Nothobranchius furzeri: one gene and its partners. Each later gene encodes a partner of the first gene's protein in a complex. Links are inferred from orthologs where the notes say so. Each region holds a gene or a part of one and is shown on either strand. Other genes may lie near its edges. The genes, in order: os9, herpud1 and protein FAM8A1.

What was found.
Region 2: os9 (region 1) and herpud1 share a complex: the UniProt entries of both Homo sapiens proteins name them as parts of the HRD1 complex. The link is inferred for Nothobranchius furzeri from reciprocal best matches to the Homo sapiens genes OS9 and HERPUD1.
Region 3: os9 (region 1) and protein FAM8A1 share a complex: the UniProt entries of both Homo sapiens proteins name them as parts of the HRD1 complex. The link is inferred for Nothobranchius furzeri from reciprocal best matches to the Homo sapiens genes OS9 and FAM8A1.

The regions. Positions count from the first base shown.
Region 1 is NC_091743.1:48,732,315-48,736,379, forward strand, and holds the start of os9 (protein OS-9), read left to right. Parts: upstream 1-1,220; 5' UTR 1,221-1,271; coding exon 1,272-1,424; intron 1,425-1,761; coding exon 1,762-1,944; intron 1,945-2,410; coding exon 2,411-2,474; intron 2,475-3,271; coding exon 3,272-3,348; intron 3,349-4,065. UniProt on the Homo sapiens protein: Lectin component of the HRD1 complex, which functions in endoplasmic reticulum (ER) quality control and ER-associated degradation (ERAD).
Region 2 is NC_091744.1:85,515,327-85,519,382, forward strand, and holds the start of herpud1 (homocysteine-responsive endoplasmic reticulum-resident ubiquitin-like domain member 1 protein), read left to right. Parts: upstream 1-1,256; 5' UTR 1,257-1,497; coding exon 1,498-1,650; intron 1,651-3,477; coding exon 3,478-3,555; intron 3,556-4,056. UniProt on the Homo sapiens protein: Component of the endoplasmic reticulum quality control (ERQC) system also called ER-associated degradation (ERAD) involved in ubiquitin-dependent degradation of misfolded endoplasmic reticulum proteins.
Region 3 is NC_091745.1:80,669,174-80,673,360, reverse strand, and holds protein FAM8A1, read left to right. Parts: upstream 1-1,334; 5' UTR 1,335-1,480; coding exon 1,481-1,907; intron 1,908-2,399; exon of another isoform or gene 2,400-2,421; coding exon 2,422-2,542; intron 2,543-2,639; coding exon 2,640-2,763; intron 2,764-2,852; coding exon 2,853-2,992; intron 2,993-3,075; coding exon 3,076-3,220; 3' UTR 3,221-3,812; downstream 3,813-4,187. UniProt on the Homo sapiens protein: Plays a role in the assembly of the HRD1 complex, a complex involved in the ubiquitin-proteasome-dependent process of ER-associated degradation (ERAD).

The DNA of each region.
Region 1 (4,065 bases):
AAACTGTCATGTCGCTGTTTTTAAATCCAAGGGAGAAACGAGCCTAGCCTGCCAGGTCCTTTCTCGGTTCCTCCCTTCCTCCCAACGAGCGCGTACCTGAATAGCTGTATCGCTTGAGTCCATTCAAATACCGGGCCACTGCCCCAGACGTCCTCCGCACTGCACAGCACCCTTGGTTAAACGAGGATTTCCTAATCTTCTGTTCAGCAAATAGAGAGCTGAAACCCCAGAATCGACACGGGCCCACTAGCCTACCTTTAAACACGCCGCATCCATAAAAACGTGACTATTATTAACCGAACGCACCTATGCATCCAGATAAACGCGCATCTCCTGGTTTTGACATTTTCATCGAGAATTCCTGCTGTAATAAAGACCAAAGCATTTTTTTTCTTATGTGAAGATGAGCAAATAGGCTACTCAATGTTCACACAGAGCAGGAAATCCCAAGTAAAAGACGGACAGGCCCTTTTTCCCAATCTGAAGCTTATTAAAATAGAAAAATCCCAGGAATATGCAGCTCACCCCAGTGAAGATGTGTCACCTCCCTCCTTCACCAAGCGCTCCCTTTTTAATGAATGCGTTCCCCAAGAGTCTTGCAAATGGAATTAGATGAAGAAGAAAAAAAGCGGAGCAGAGGCAAATAAAAACGCGGCCGCACATCGCAACACATCGCGCTGTGGAAGAGACTCCCCCTGCAGCAACAGCGGCTGCACAGCAACCGGGGATCCAGAATGAAGTCTGCACCCCACAAAATGTGATTTGTGCTTAAAGATACAAAAGTAACAACAATTGAGTTATTTCTTAAAAACATCAACGTCTTTTAAAAATAAAATTTAAAGTAAGATATGTTGTGTGAGTGGGCGTCTATGCTAATTCATTTTGTGTGTGCTTCTTCCAGGAAATAAGACTCAGTTTATACTGTAATAATAATTAATTTTTAAACTATAGACAAAATAAACGCCTCATTCATTAGACCAATGATGCAGATCTAAATCAGTATGCGTGTGCGTTTATTTTATGTATAGTAAAGTAAAGCGTCAGCAGACAGTTCGGGTGTTGTTCGTTAGTTAGCGGTGCCTGTGTCGCCCGTTTAAATCGTCCCTGTAACAAGAAACTAGTACACACTGGAAGTAAAAAAACTGGTGACTGACATTAAATTCAACCAATCGTAGAGCAACAACTTTGACACTAACCAATCAACGTCTACCATGTCAGGCGTTCTGTGTTTTGATGCTTGTACAGCGCTTGGTGTACGAAGAGTGTTAACGATGGCTGCCTCCTTATTATTGCGGTGGCTGAAGAGACTGTTCCTTTTTGTGTTGATATGCCCCCTCTGTGTTCCAGCCTTCTTGAATTTGGAAGAGTTAAACGAAATGAAATACGGGATTCAAATTCTGTCTGACCCCGTGATATTAGGGCAGGTGAGTGGGGGCTATAGATGCTAACGTGTAGCTTGTTAGCTATAATGTAGGCTACAGCTTGCTAGCGATAAATATATTAATTCCTTTAGGTTATTTAATTACAAATACAAATAACATGTTTGTTTAAGCTCAGCAAGAAACGTTAAGATATTTTGCCAATTCGTGCGAAGACAGAAATTGTTAATTTATGAGCGACAACTGTGACAGCTGTCTTGACAACATGTACACACACACACACACACACACACAAAACACCTGACCAATTAACTACTGCCAATATACTGTGTAGCTTCCCTTTAATTATTACTGGGGTTTCATCACAGTGTTTATTTTTCAGACCAAGACAGAGGAAGTAATGATGGTGTCTAATAAATACAAGCAGCTCTATGAATGTCGACTACCAGCCCAGGCTGTCCGCTTTCACCAGGACCCAGCCTCCGAGCCTGACTCTCAGGCCTACACCGGCCCAGACATCCCAGACCTGCTCAAGCCTATGCACAAATCTCCATGTTTACTAAAGGTATTCTCTCACTTTTCAGGTGTCAATCAATGCTTATTTATGTAATTCGCTTATTAAATACGTATGTAATTAAGTGATTAAGAGCTCTGTACAGACCTCATCACACATACTGTCACCAATTAACAATTGTTTCTTTTCAAATTACATAGTTATAACATTGTGCAGGTGTAATCAAAAAAACGTCAAATACTTTCTGGATTATGATCCCTCAAGCTGCTTTTAAACATTTTTTTAAAGACGTGTGTACTTTTTATTAGTTTACATTCATGTGAGATTACATAATTCACTATGTGGACCAAGATTCAGATCAGAAGTGGCATGAGCTAGATCGACCAACTATCAGTACCAGTCAAATGTTTGAGAGAGACACCTGTCACACACCTGTTTAATATGCAGGTGTTGCCAAACTGTTGACTGCACTATGCAAATGACCTCATTTGAAATTTGCTGTCATTATTTCCTGCAGACAAAAGACTGGTGGACATATGAGTTTTGCCATAGTAAACATATCCAACAGTACCACCTTGAAGGTAAAAATATTCTGATTAAGCATTCTTAATTGACTTATTTTTCTAATGACAAATTGTGGGCAAATTATAAATACAAAGGGCAGTTTGCCTGCTGTAAACTTACATATTTATCAGACCTTTTTGAGTGTTGTGTTTTTATCCAGGTCTTCTAATGGATGGATGGATGTGCATGTAACTAAGAAACAAGAGAATTGCTTTCATATAACCATGTTGTTTTCAGTAATGCTGCAATTTAGCCAATACTTTTACTAACTTCATTGTGTTTTATTAAAAGACAAAAATATCTGGGAACTCATCTGGATTCACATCATTAGGATATGAACTGCAGTCAACCTGACCTGTAGATTATACGCTACTGTCTATTTAAAAAATCTGTGTCTTAAGTAAAATGTTTTTTACACTTTCTCTGATGTTATTTTTAAACATCTTACAGACAGCTAACTGTGAATCCTCCTCTCTCAGTAAAAATATCCTGCTAGTTTGTGTTTGTGCTTGTCTTTAGTGTGATCACTGAGACAGGATTGTGCCTGGTATATCAGTCAAGCCACTAAAAGCTGATTCTGTTTACCGTTCATCTGTGCATTTCTAGAAAAAAAAAACAAGTTAAACTTGTGTTCTTACACTTATAGTAGCTGTGCACCTTCTGACAGTTAAAGATTCAAAAGTCTTTAACACACGGAGAAATGTTGACATAACATTTTTGCAAACTTGTATAAGTCTAAAAATACATTTTCCAGGTCTGATTATCGTCTGCATGTTTTTAAGACATGTTTGTGACTGATGTTCTTTTTTTTTAGACACAGAAATCAATGGGGGTGTTCTTTATCTGGGATTTTATGAGTCTGAATTTGACTGGAACAATGAAACGGCAAAGGTAAAGTTGTCTTTATTAACTACAAAAACTAAGAAATAAAACAACTAACTACAGACCCAGGGATATTAGGCAACTTTTTCATATTTTTACATCATTTTCTATATGTGCTAAAATGACCCTTTACAGGGTTAATGAAATTTCACTCAGACCCCCATCACACTCTGTGGCCAGAATACCGCATTTTTAACATTAGAGTGTCGGTCCAGTTTGTTGGACTTTAAAAAAAAAACACTGGAGCTGACCAACCTGGGGTTGCAGTCTGCTTTCAGCATGTTTCCTGCATGTTTTAGATCACGAACACAGCTGATTTGTTTAATTTAGTGCTGGATCACTCCTGTAGACATTAATGAAGGCTGGGGAGACATTTCATCTGTTTGATTAAGGTGTTAAAAAGAGGAATGCACATTAAGTAGATGTCTTTTGTTTTTGGTTCTTCTAAACAGACACTACAGGTGCTAAAAGCAAGCCAAAACACCCAATCTCCCTTTAAATGTAGGCCTCTTCAAACACTGTTGACAGAAAATGCTCAGAAATATCTGTATGTGCTCTTAAAGTTGCCTCTTTATGAGATAAATGACTGTAGGATATGCATTCAGTTTTCCTTCTTTTTTTTTTTTTTTACTTAGCTTCTGTGTGTTTTGTGACATTAAAACCAAATAGCAGTTTTACAATTGCTAAAGACGATAACAGATTTCATTATTTAAGGCACTGGTTCTG
Region 2 (4,056 bases), on another chromosome or scaffold:
AGATTGGTCACATCTTATTATTGACTAACACTTTGTTTGATTAGCTAATAGCTTTATTAAAATAGAGTTCTTTGATTTATTAAAAGGAGAGAGTCCGTTCTTCATTCTTCTCTTGAGCTGGAAAGAAGCAGTTTATAGCAAATGCATGAGACCTTGAGGCCGTATCTCATGCAGACTAGTTCTGTGTCAGAGGAGAGGGGGAAATGACTTTTGGTGGAAAACAGTCATTTCATTCCGTTACGATATTTTTTTTATCTTTTTTTCAATAAGTTTTAAATTATATTTTCTTGTGAAGCGCTTTGTCATTTTTATCTTGTGAGGCACAATATAAAAGATTTTATTTCTTTGTTTTAATTCACATATTTTCAAAATGTAAAACAGTGCAAATGTCAGCAGCCTTTCCTTATTTACAACAATTTTAATTTGATATCAAACAGAAAGTCATGGTGATGCATCTTTCAGGTTCTGTATTTGCGACTTTTCTATTTTGAATGTTTGTCTTTTTCATGCTGGAGATTATTAGGCTGACAAATCTTTTATCCTCCACTTTCCTGTGTTTTAAGCATGTTGGCCTTCAGCACAACATGCTATTGAGCTCAAATTAGTCACAAAGGTACCAAAATCCCAAATATCCAAGGTTTACAAAATTATTTTTACTTCAAGCATAAAGTTGTTAATGGTAAACATTACTGCACAGACCCAGTTGTATCTTAACCGCCTCGTGATTTTTATCTTGAGGTGCTATATAAATGATCGTTTTCTTTCTTTTACCTAATTTGGTCATAATAAAATGTAAAAACCTGAATGAAAATACCTCAATTTCAAAAACTTTAATTTGTCTTTAGCAGTCAATGGCTTGACTTGCTGATGCAACATTTGTTATGTAATTTCACTGAAATGATCTTTTCTGATCAGGGAGTAAAAAAAAGAAAGATGTCTTACTCTCTTTCCAAGCAACAAAACTGGTAATTGTATGTCTCGTAGAAAAACAGTTAAAAATTATAACTTAATGTATATAACAAAAAATGTATTTAATTTACCTAATTTATCCATCTTTCTTTTAGATTTTATTGTGTCTTTTGGTTGTTTTTATTATTATTATTCAGAATATTTCATTAAATTTAAATCCGAGTGTACATCTCAGACAAAAATTAACGATCTATGAAACTACTTTCTTTTGCGCATGCTCACAGGGGCTGATTTTTCCACCAGACTCCACGTCAGAGCGCGAGCAGCCTGTAACCAATCAGAAGCGGCCACCGTGTGTTTGGAAACACGACCTTCCTCTTCTAAAGTCCCGTATGACGAGCTGCAGAGACATTTCTAGAATAAACACTGACCGAACTTTCACTGTTTGTTAGTGGTTTAGCGCTGATTTTATTCCCGTCTTTCCACACGTTGTTTCAGTCAGAACAGTTTTATTCGTTTCTGAAGAACATTATTGTGAATAGCATCAGCTTTAGCCCGAGTCTACATCGAGTGAGAAGAAGAGTGGAAATGGACGTGGGAGATTCGCAACAAAAGACGACCAGTCTGCTCATCAAAACGCCCAACGAGGCTCAGGAGGACCAGATAATAGAAGGGGTCCACTTGAGGTGGACCGTGAAGGACCTGAAGACGTATTTGTCGACTGTCTACAAAACCAAACCGGTGAGTTTAAAGTTAGCCGACAACTGTTAGCGGAACTTGGCTAAAGGGTGTGTTGTGGAATGTTTGGACCCCAGACCAGCTGCGAATTTAACAGCTGTCAGCCATTCCTCTGTCTTTATGGGCCAGTAGATGTTTGTTTTTATTTAATTTCCTCAGAAATGATCTGTTCAGGGATCTCACTTAGGTTAAATTTAGCTCAACATGTATTTTTAGAGATTCACGGCAGCAAAATTAGGTTTCTATTTTTTACTAATTAAGCTCTTATAGCACAAGGTATGGTATGAAAAATAATCTTCCATCCATTTATCCATTTTCATCCGCTAATCCGGAGTCGGGTCGCGGAGGCAGTAGCCTAAGTCGAGAGGCCCAGACTTCCCTCTCCCCAGCCACTTGGGCCAGCTCCTCCGGGGGAATCCCAAGGTGTTCCCTGGCCAGGTGAGAGACATAGTCCCTCCAGCGTGTCCTGGGTCTTCCTTTAGGTCTCCTCCTGGTTGGACGTGCCCACAAAACCTCACCAGGGAGGCTTCCAGGAGATATCCTGACCAGATACCCGAGCCACCTCAACTGGCTCCTCTCGACGTGGAGGAGCAGCGAGTCTACTCCGAGCCCCTCCCGAATGGCCGAGCTTCTCTCCCTATCTCTAATGGGCCATTCCCATCTGTACCGGGTCGGCCCGGGCCGGGTAGCCCCAGTCGGCCCCAGCCTGGCCCAGTTGATTCCACACATCCTTGCCTTAAGCCCATGTGGGCTGATTCTACCCACCAATCAGAGGCTTGCTCTAATGGAAGGTGTGAATTTGCTGTCAGCAGTGGGTGTGTTGGCCCTGGTCGGCCTGAAGCAGACCCCCTCGAGAAGAGGGCTGAGAATGAGCCTTGGTTGGCCCGGAAAAGTACCAGGCCACCCAGATATGTAAACAACCTACGCTACCCGGCCCGGGCCGACCCGGTACAGATGGGAATGGCCCATATGAGAGAGCCCAGCCACTCTTCATAGAAGACTTATTTTGGCCGCTTGTATCCGCGATCTTGTCCTTTCGGTCACTACCATGACCGCTCATGACCATAGGTGAGGGTAGGAACGTAGATCGACCGGTAAATCGAGAGCTTCTCCTTCTGACTCAGCTCTCTACCCTCTCATTCACTGGGGTAAACCCCAACGTACAGGCACCAAGATGGGGGGCAACTAGTATGCCCACCCCTGCTCGGCGCCTCTCAGTGGGAGCAACTCCAGACTGGTAGAAAGTCCAACCCCTCTCAAGGAAACTGGTTCTAGAGCCAGAGCCATGCGTTGAGGAGAGTCTGACTATATCTAGTCGGAACCTCTCAGCCTCACACACCAACTCAGGCTCCTTCCCCACCAGAGAGGTGACACTCCATGTGCCAAGAGCCAGCTTCTGTAGCCGAGGATCAGACCACCAAGGTCCCCGCCCTCGACTACCACCCGACACACACTGCACCCGACCCCTTTGGCCCCTCCCACGAGTGGTGAGCCCATGGGAAGAATATTCTTATTGGTTTATTGAGCCTCTGTTGTTAATCTGTTGTTTTTGTATTGTAAGTAGCAAATTCACAAGGTGTGATGTTCCTTCAGACTCCCAGAAGATGAAGGGATGATCAGAGAGATGAAAGGGTGCAGTTAGCTGATAAGACCTGTCCAACCATCAGGTGCTGTGAGATAAATGCTTAGTTTCCATGTAAAGTTAATGATTACTGATCAAGACCGTGTAACCTCTGGGTAATTCGCCATGTGTGTTTATATTTGTGAGCTGGCTCGGGCTGTGTTAAAGAACATGAACCTCATAAACTAACTTGTTTGTGTTTTTTAAAGGCCGTGTGCGATCAGAGGCTGATCTTCGCTGGCAAACTGCTCCCAGATCATCTACTCATCAAAGAGCTCTTCAGACAGGTCTGTATTCAGATTTTATTTTATTATTATTTTTTTTTTTATCCAAGTTCGTCTAGATCAGTGGGGTTCAATTCTGGTCCTGGTGCGCTGCATGTTGCAGCCATCCCCCATCTCCAGCACACCTGAATTACCTGTTCTGTTTGTTAATCACGCATGTAAATCAAACCAGGTGTGTTGGTGAAGCTAAACATAGAAAACAAACAGGTAGTAGCCCTCAGGGACCAGAACTGAAAAGCCCTTGTCTAGATTCATCTTAACACCCACCTGAATATCAGGTTGAACATATTTACATCAAACCGTTCACCATCACAAATGAACAGTTTTCAAACATTGCAATTATTTAATGTCTCTAGAATACGTTTATAAATCAACCTCTTCTGATAAACAGCCTCTAATTCCCAAATCCTCAGATTCCCGTTAGTTTAATAAATGTGGGACAGGATAATATTTCATGGATTGATTGTTATGGAGGTTTTCCGGGTCAGACTCTACTGTTCCATT
Region 3 (4,187 bases), on another chromosome or scaffold:
TCATATCTCTCACACAGGAAACAGTTTGTGGTGTGGGATGGGGTTAAATCTCCATATTTAGACTGTGATACAGGAGTTCCTCAAGGATCTGTTCTTGGGCATTTATTGTTCTCTCTTTTTATTAATAACTTACCTGAAGTCTGTCCAGACATATTTGCTCAAATGTATGCGGATGATGCAGTTATATTTACGCAAGCAAACAGTGTCCAGCAGGTGGCAAAAGATCTTACAGCTGCTTTAGCATTAATGCTTAGCTGGCTGGAGGACTCATGCCTAATGTTGAACACCTCAAAAACTGTCTGCATGTTTTTTTCAAAACGCCCCTTAAACTAGAAGCAGTCAAATATATTCCTGGATGGAGTAGAGCTTGATCTAGCACCAGAATTTAAATATCTTGGGGTAATTCTAGACCCAACATTATCCTTCAAGAGTCATATAAATAAAGTGTCCCAGGTACTTAAATTTAATAATCTAAATTTTACTCATATACGTAATAATCTAAATATGAATGTTGCAAAAACTTATTTTTACTCGATGATCATCTCTCATACGGACTATTGTTTGACATCCTGGTCACTTGCTTGTCCAACAACACTTAAAACTAGTGCAAACATTTATAAAAGTTTAAAATTACTTGACAAAAACCGACTTCCCACCACCATTGTCATGTGTTAAAAAACATAAATTACTGAACTTCACTAACTTAATGAAACTTAAAAGAGTCTGTTTAATATATAAAGTCTTACACTCCCTTGCTCCACCACCACTAAAGCAGTTCATTAGGCATAAAGAAAGCTCAAACAGGACTACACGAGCTACAATTCGAGGAGAAATGTTTATACCACATAGACAGACATCTTTTGGGCAGAACGTCCTCTGTCAAGGGTGGCCATCTGTGGAACAGTCTTCCTCAACCCATTAGAGAATGCTCGACTCAAGGCAAAGGTTAAAAACTGGTTATGGACAAATCAAGTGTGTGATCATGTATGAGTTTTATAGTTTTAATGTTTCATTTGTGAATAGAATGGTGTGTATGTGTAAGTTTGGTGAAGGAGTTTTTATTATGAATGAATGATGAATTTTTATGAATTATTATGTCTTTTTATGTCAACAGATGGAAATTAGAATTTTTGGCTATAATCTGGCATGTTTACATTCATGTAAGCTGCTTTATGTTCATTAACATGCACTGTCCAAAATAAACAAATAAATAAAGATAATGCGGTCAAACTGAAACTGTAACAGCGAAACCCTGACCTCCTGTGGCCGTGTCTAGTAGTGCAGCTACTGATTGGACTGTACCACTATGTGCTGAAAAGCGGGGGAGGGGCTGAAGTTCTCCTGCTAAATAAATGCTTTATTAAAAGTTTTCACCTTATAAGCTTTTGTATATCAGCTGTTAACCTCTCATCAAATATGTATAATCGATAACTATTTGTTTTCACTTCTGTTTAGCTTCTTTCTAAATGATTTGGCATCAATGACGTTTTACGACGTTACGGTGCTTGTAAACATGGCGGACATGAACAACAAAGCTGTGGAAGTGGATGAAGGAGAAAATAAACCTTCTGGTAAAGATGTAATCCGTGGTTCAGACAACCAGAAGAAACCTTCCGCTGACGGTGGAACCACAGCGGAGTACTGCGAGAAGCTGCAGACATGGATGTGGCAGTACTACGCTGGCTATGTGAACTGGCAGAGCTGGCTAGCGGCGTCGGCGGTGTCCTGCCCTTATTTACAGCCACCCAGCGGAACCCCCACGGCTGGTGACTGGCATGCCGGCCCACTCGGGCTTCCGTTGTTGCCGTATCCACCTGCGGTCAGCCGAGCGGGTGAAGCCCCCGTCGGCGCTGCCGCGCAGCAGCACCAACCGCCGCCTCAAGCTAACGGAAACGCGCAGAGACCGGGTAAACGCTGCAGCTGGTTCATGTCCAAACGTTCACTTGTGACCACACACCCAAACATGCTCTTCGTTTAATAAAAAGTAGGAGTTACGGTACGGTTCACTACGGGCTGGGATAAGACTGAAAGCTTTTCAGAAGGCCAAATGTATTATTTTATAGTTTGTGACCTGAACGCAACACGAGTAGTGAGTGGCTTTTGCGGCCGGGTTATGACGTCACACCAGGACAGCGATGAATGAAACTTGTGAAGTGAAATAAAGACAAACCGTTGATGAGACATCTAAAGTGTTCACTAAAGCCACGTTTAGCACCTTCTGGAACATTCTGTCGTCGACTCTCTTGTTTTTATTCAGGTTAAACTCCAATTATGACTCAGATGATGACTGAATCAGACCGCGTTGACACTAGTAAGGTTAATGTGACGTTTGTGTCTCACTTTTGGGAAAATAAACCTTGAACGTTTGGTTTCTCAGCCTCTGAAGGACTAAAACTTACCGCTGTGTCTCGCTTCCACCAGGGCGGGAGTACAGCATCCCCTCTCCTCTCCAGAGACTCATGGCGGAGATGGTGGACTTCTTCATCTTGTTTTTCATCAAAGCTTCTATAATCATCAGTATTATGCATCTGAGTGGAATCAAGTGGGTTAATTAGATTTGGTGTAAACAGCGTTGTCATGACAACAGAAACACCATGACCATAACATTTGGATTTTTTTGTCTTTTCCATTGTTTTTAGGGATGTTTCCAAGTTTGCCATGCATTTGATCGTGGAGGAGATCGACGAGGACACGTCGATGGAGGAGCTGCAGAAGATGATGCTTGTTGCTCTAGTGTACCGGATCTTGGTGTGTTTTTATGAGGTGAGGCTCACTGCCGGTTTAGACTCAAGTCTGTGTTTTAAACGTTTTAGGAAGACTCGAGGTGAACTTTCACGCTTTTCTCCTGTCAGATTGTGTGCATCTGGGGAGCAGGAGGTGCCACGCCAGGGAAGTTTCTCCTCGGACTCAGAGTCGTTACGTGTGACTCGTCGGTTCTGGTTCAGCCCAACAGGGTGCTCGTGGTGCCAGCCACTAACGTCTCTCTCTCTGCGTGAGTGGCTCGTTTATGTTTCAGGGAGCTGTCTAAGGAGGCGGTTGGGAAGACTGAACTCTTGTTTCTGTCCGTCCTTCCAGATCAACTGTCCGGGCTTTGAATAAGAACTTCTCCATAGCCTTCTTCTTCCCAGCCTTCATCACACTCCTCTTCTTCCAGCACAACAGGACTGTGTATGATATGGTTGCCGGTACCATCGTTGTCAAGCGATCCAGAGCCAGATGACGCAGAACGGGACGCGTAAAATGACTCTGATGTTTTAGTGAAGCGGCTCCCAGAGCCACTGCTGTGTTCACGCGTCGCAGCAGAGTTCAGGCGTTTGCTGGGAGCCCGCATCCGTAAGAACTGCTTCCGTTCATCGTGACCAGCACTGTTTTTCTGCATGCATGTCCAGATAATGTTTCCGGTGTCTCCTCCTGGACCAACAGGAAGGATGATGGGGATTTAGCCCGTTTTCGGCACAAGTTGCACCTTCACTTCTGTGTGAGGCGAAGGGCGAGTGCCGCCCGCTGCTCAGTATTTAAGCCGCTGATGATTTCGTATTTCACCCCCAGTATCTGGCCGTTTCCGCCGGTCTCCAAAGCGGACGAGAGGTCGTGTAAAATGCAAACACGAAAAGTTCTTTTCTTGGAAAGGTGTGCATAGATTTAGGTTTGATTTGATCCGCCCTGTTTAAGGCTGAGATGGAGGCACATTTAAAGGTTTTTCTCTGTAAGCCGAGGTGTATCGGACGCTAAATGTTAACCGTTTATGTATTTCATTAGCATTTCTGAATGTTCTCTGAATAAAACCAGGCCTGTGGCTCTGAAAGCATGAACTCTTGTGCATTTATACTTTGTGTGAGTTACACGGGCCACGTGTGCTAAAGCAGCACACGTATGGTTGGTTATGTGAGGAATTCTGTTTCCACGTGTTTTCTTCTCACATTCATGTTTTATTTGTGTTTCTAGATAAAAGATTTCCAACGTGCTCTTAGCTTATCGGTTTTGGTTCAGGTCCTGCAGATTGCAGCCTTTCTCCTATGAGTCTAGAGATGTTCTCCACCTTAAACAGCTAAAGCAGCAGGACATCTTTAACTGTCCCACTCATCCTTCTAACTGGGAGTCTAGTCGCCGACTGGTTCTGGGATGCTGTAGCTGTTTGTGTCTCAGCGTCTGTGATATTTGCTGCTATGAAAATGGACACAAATGTT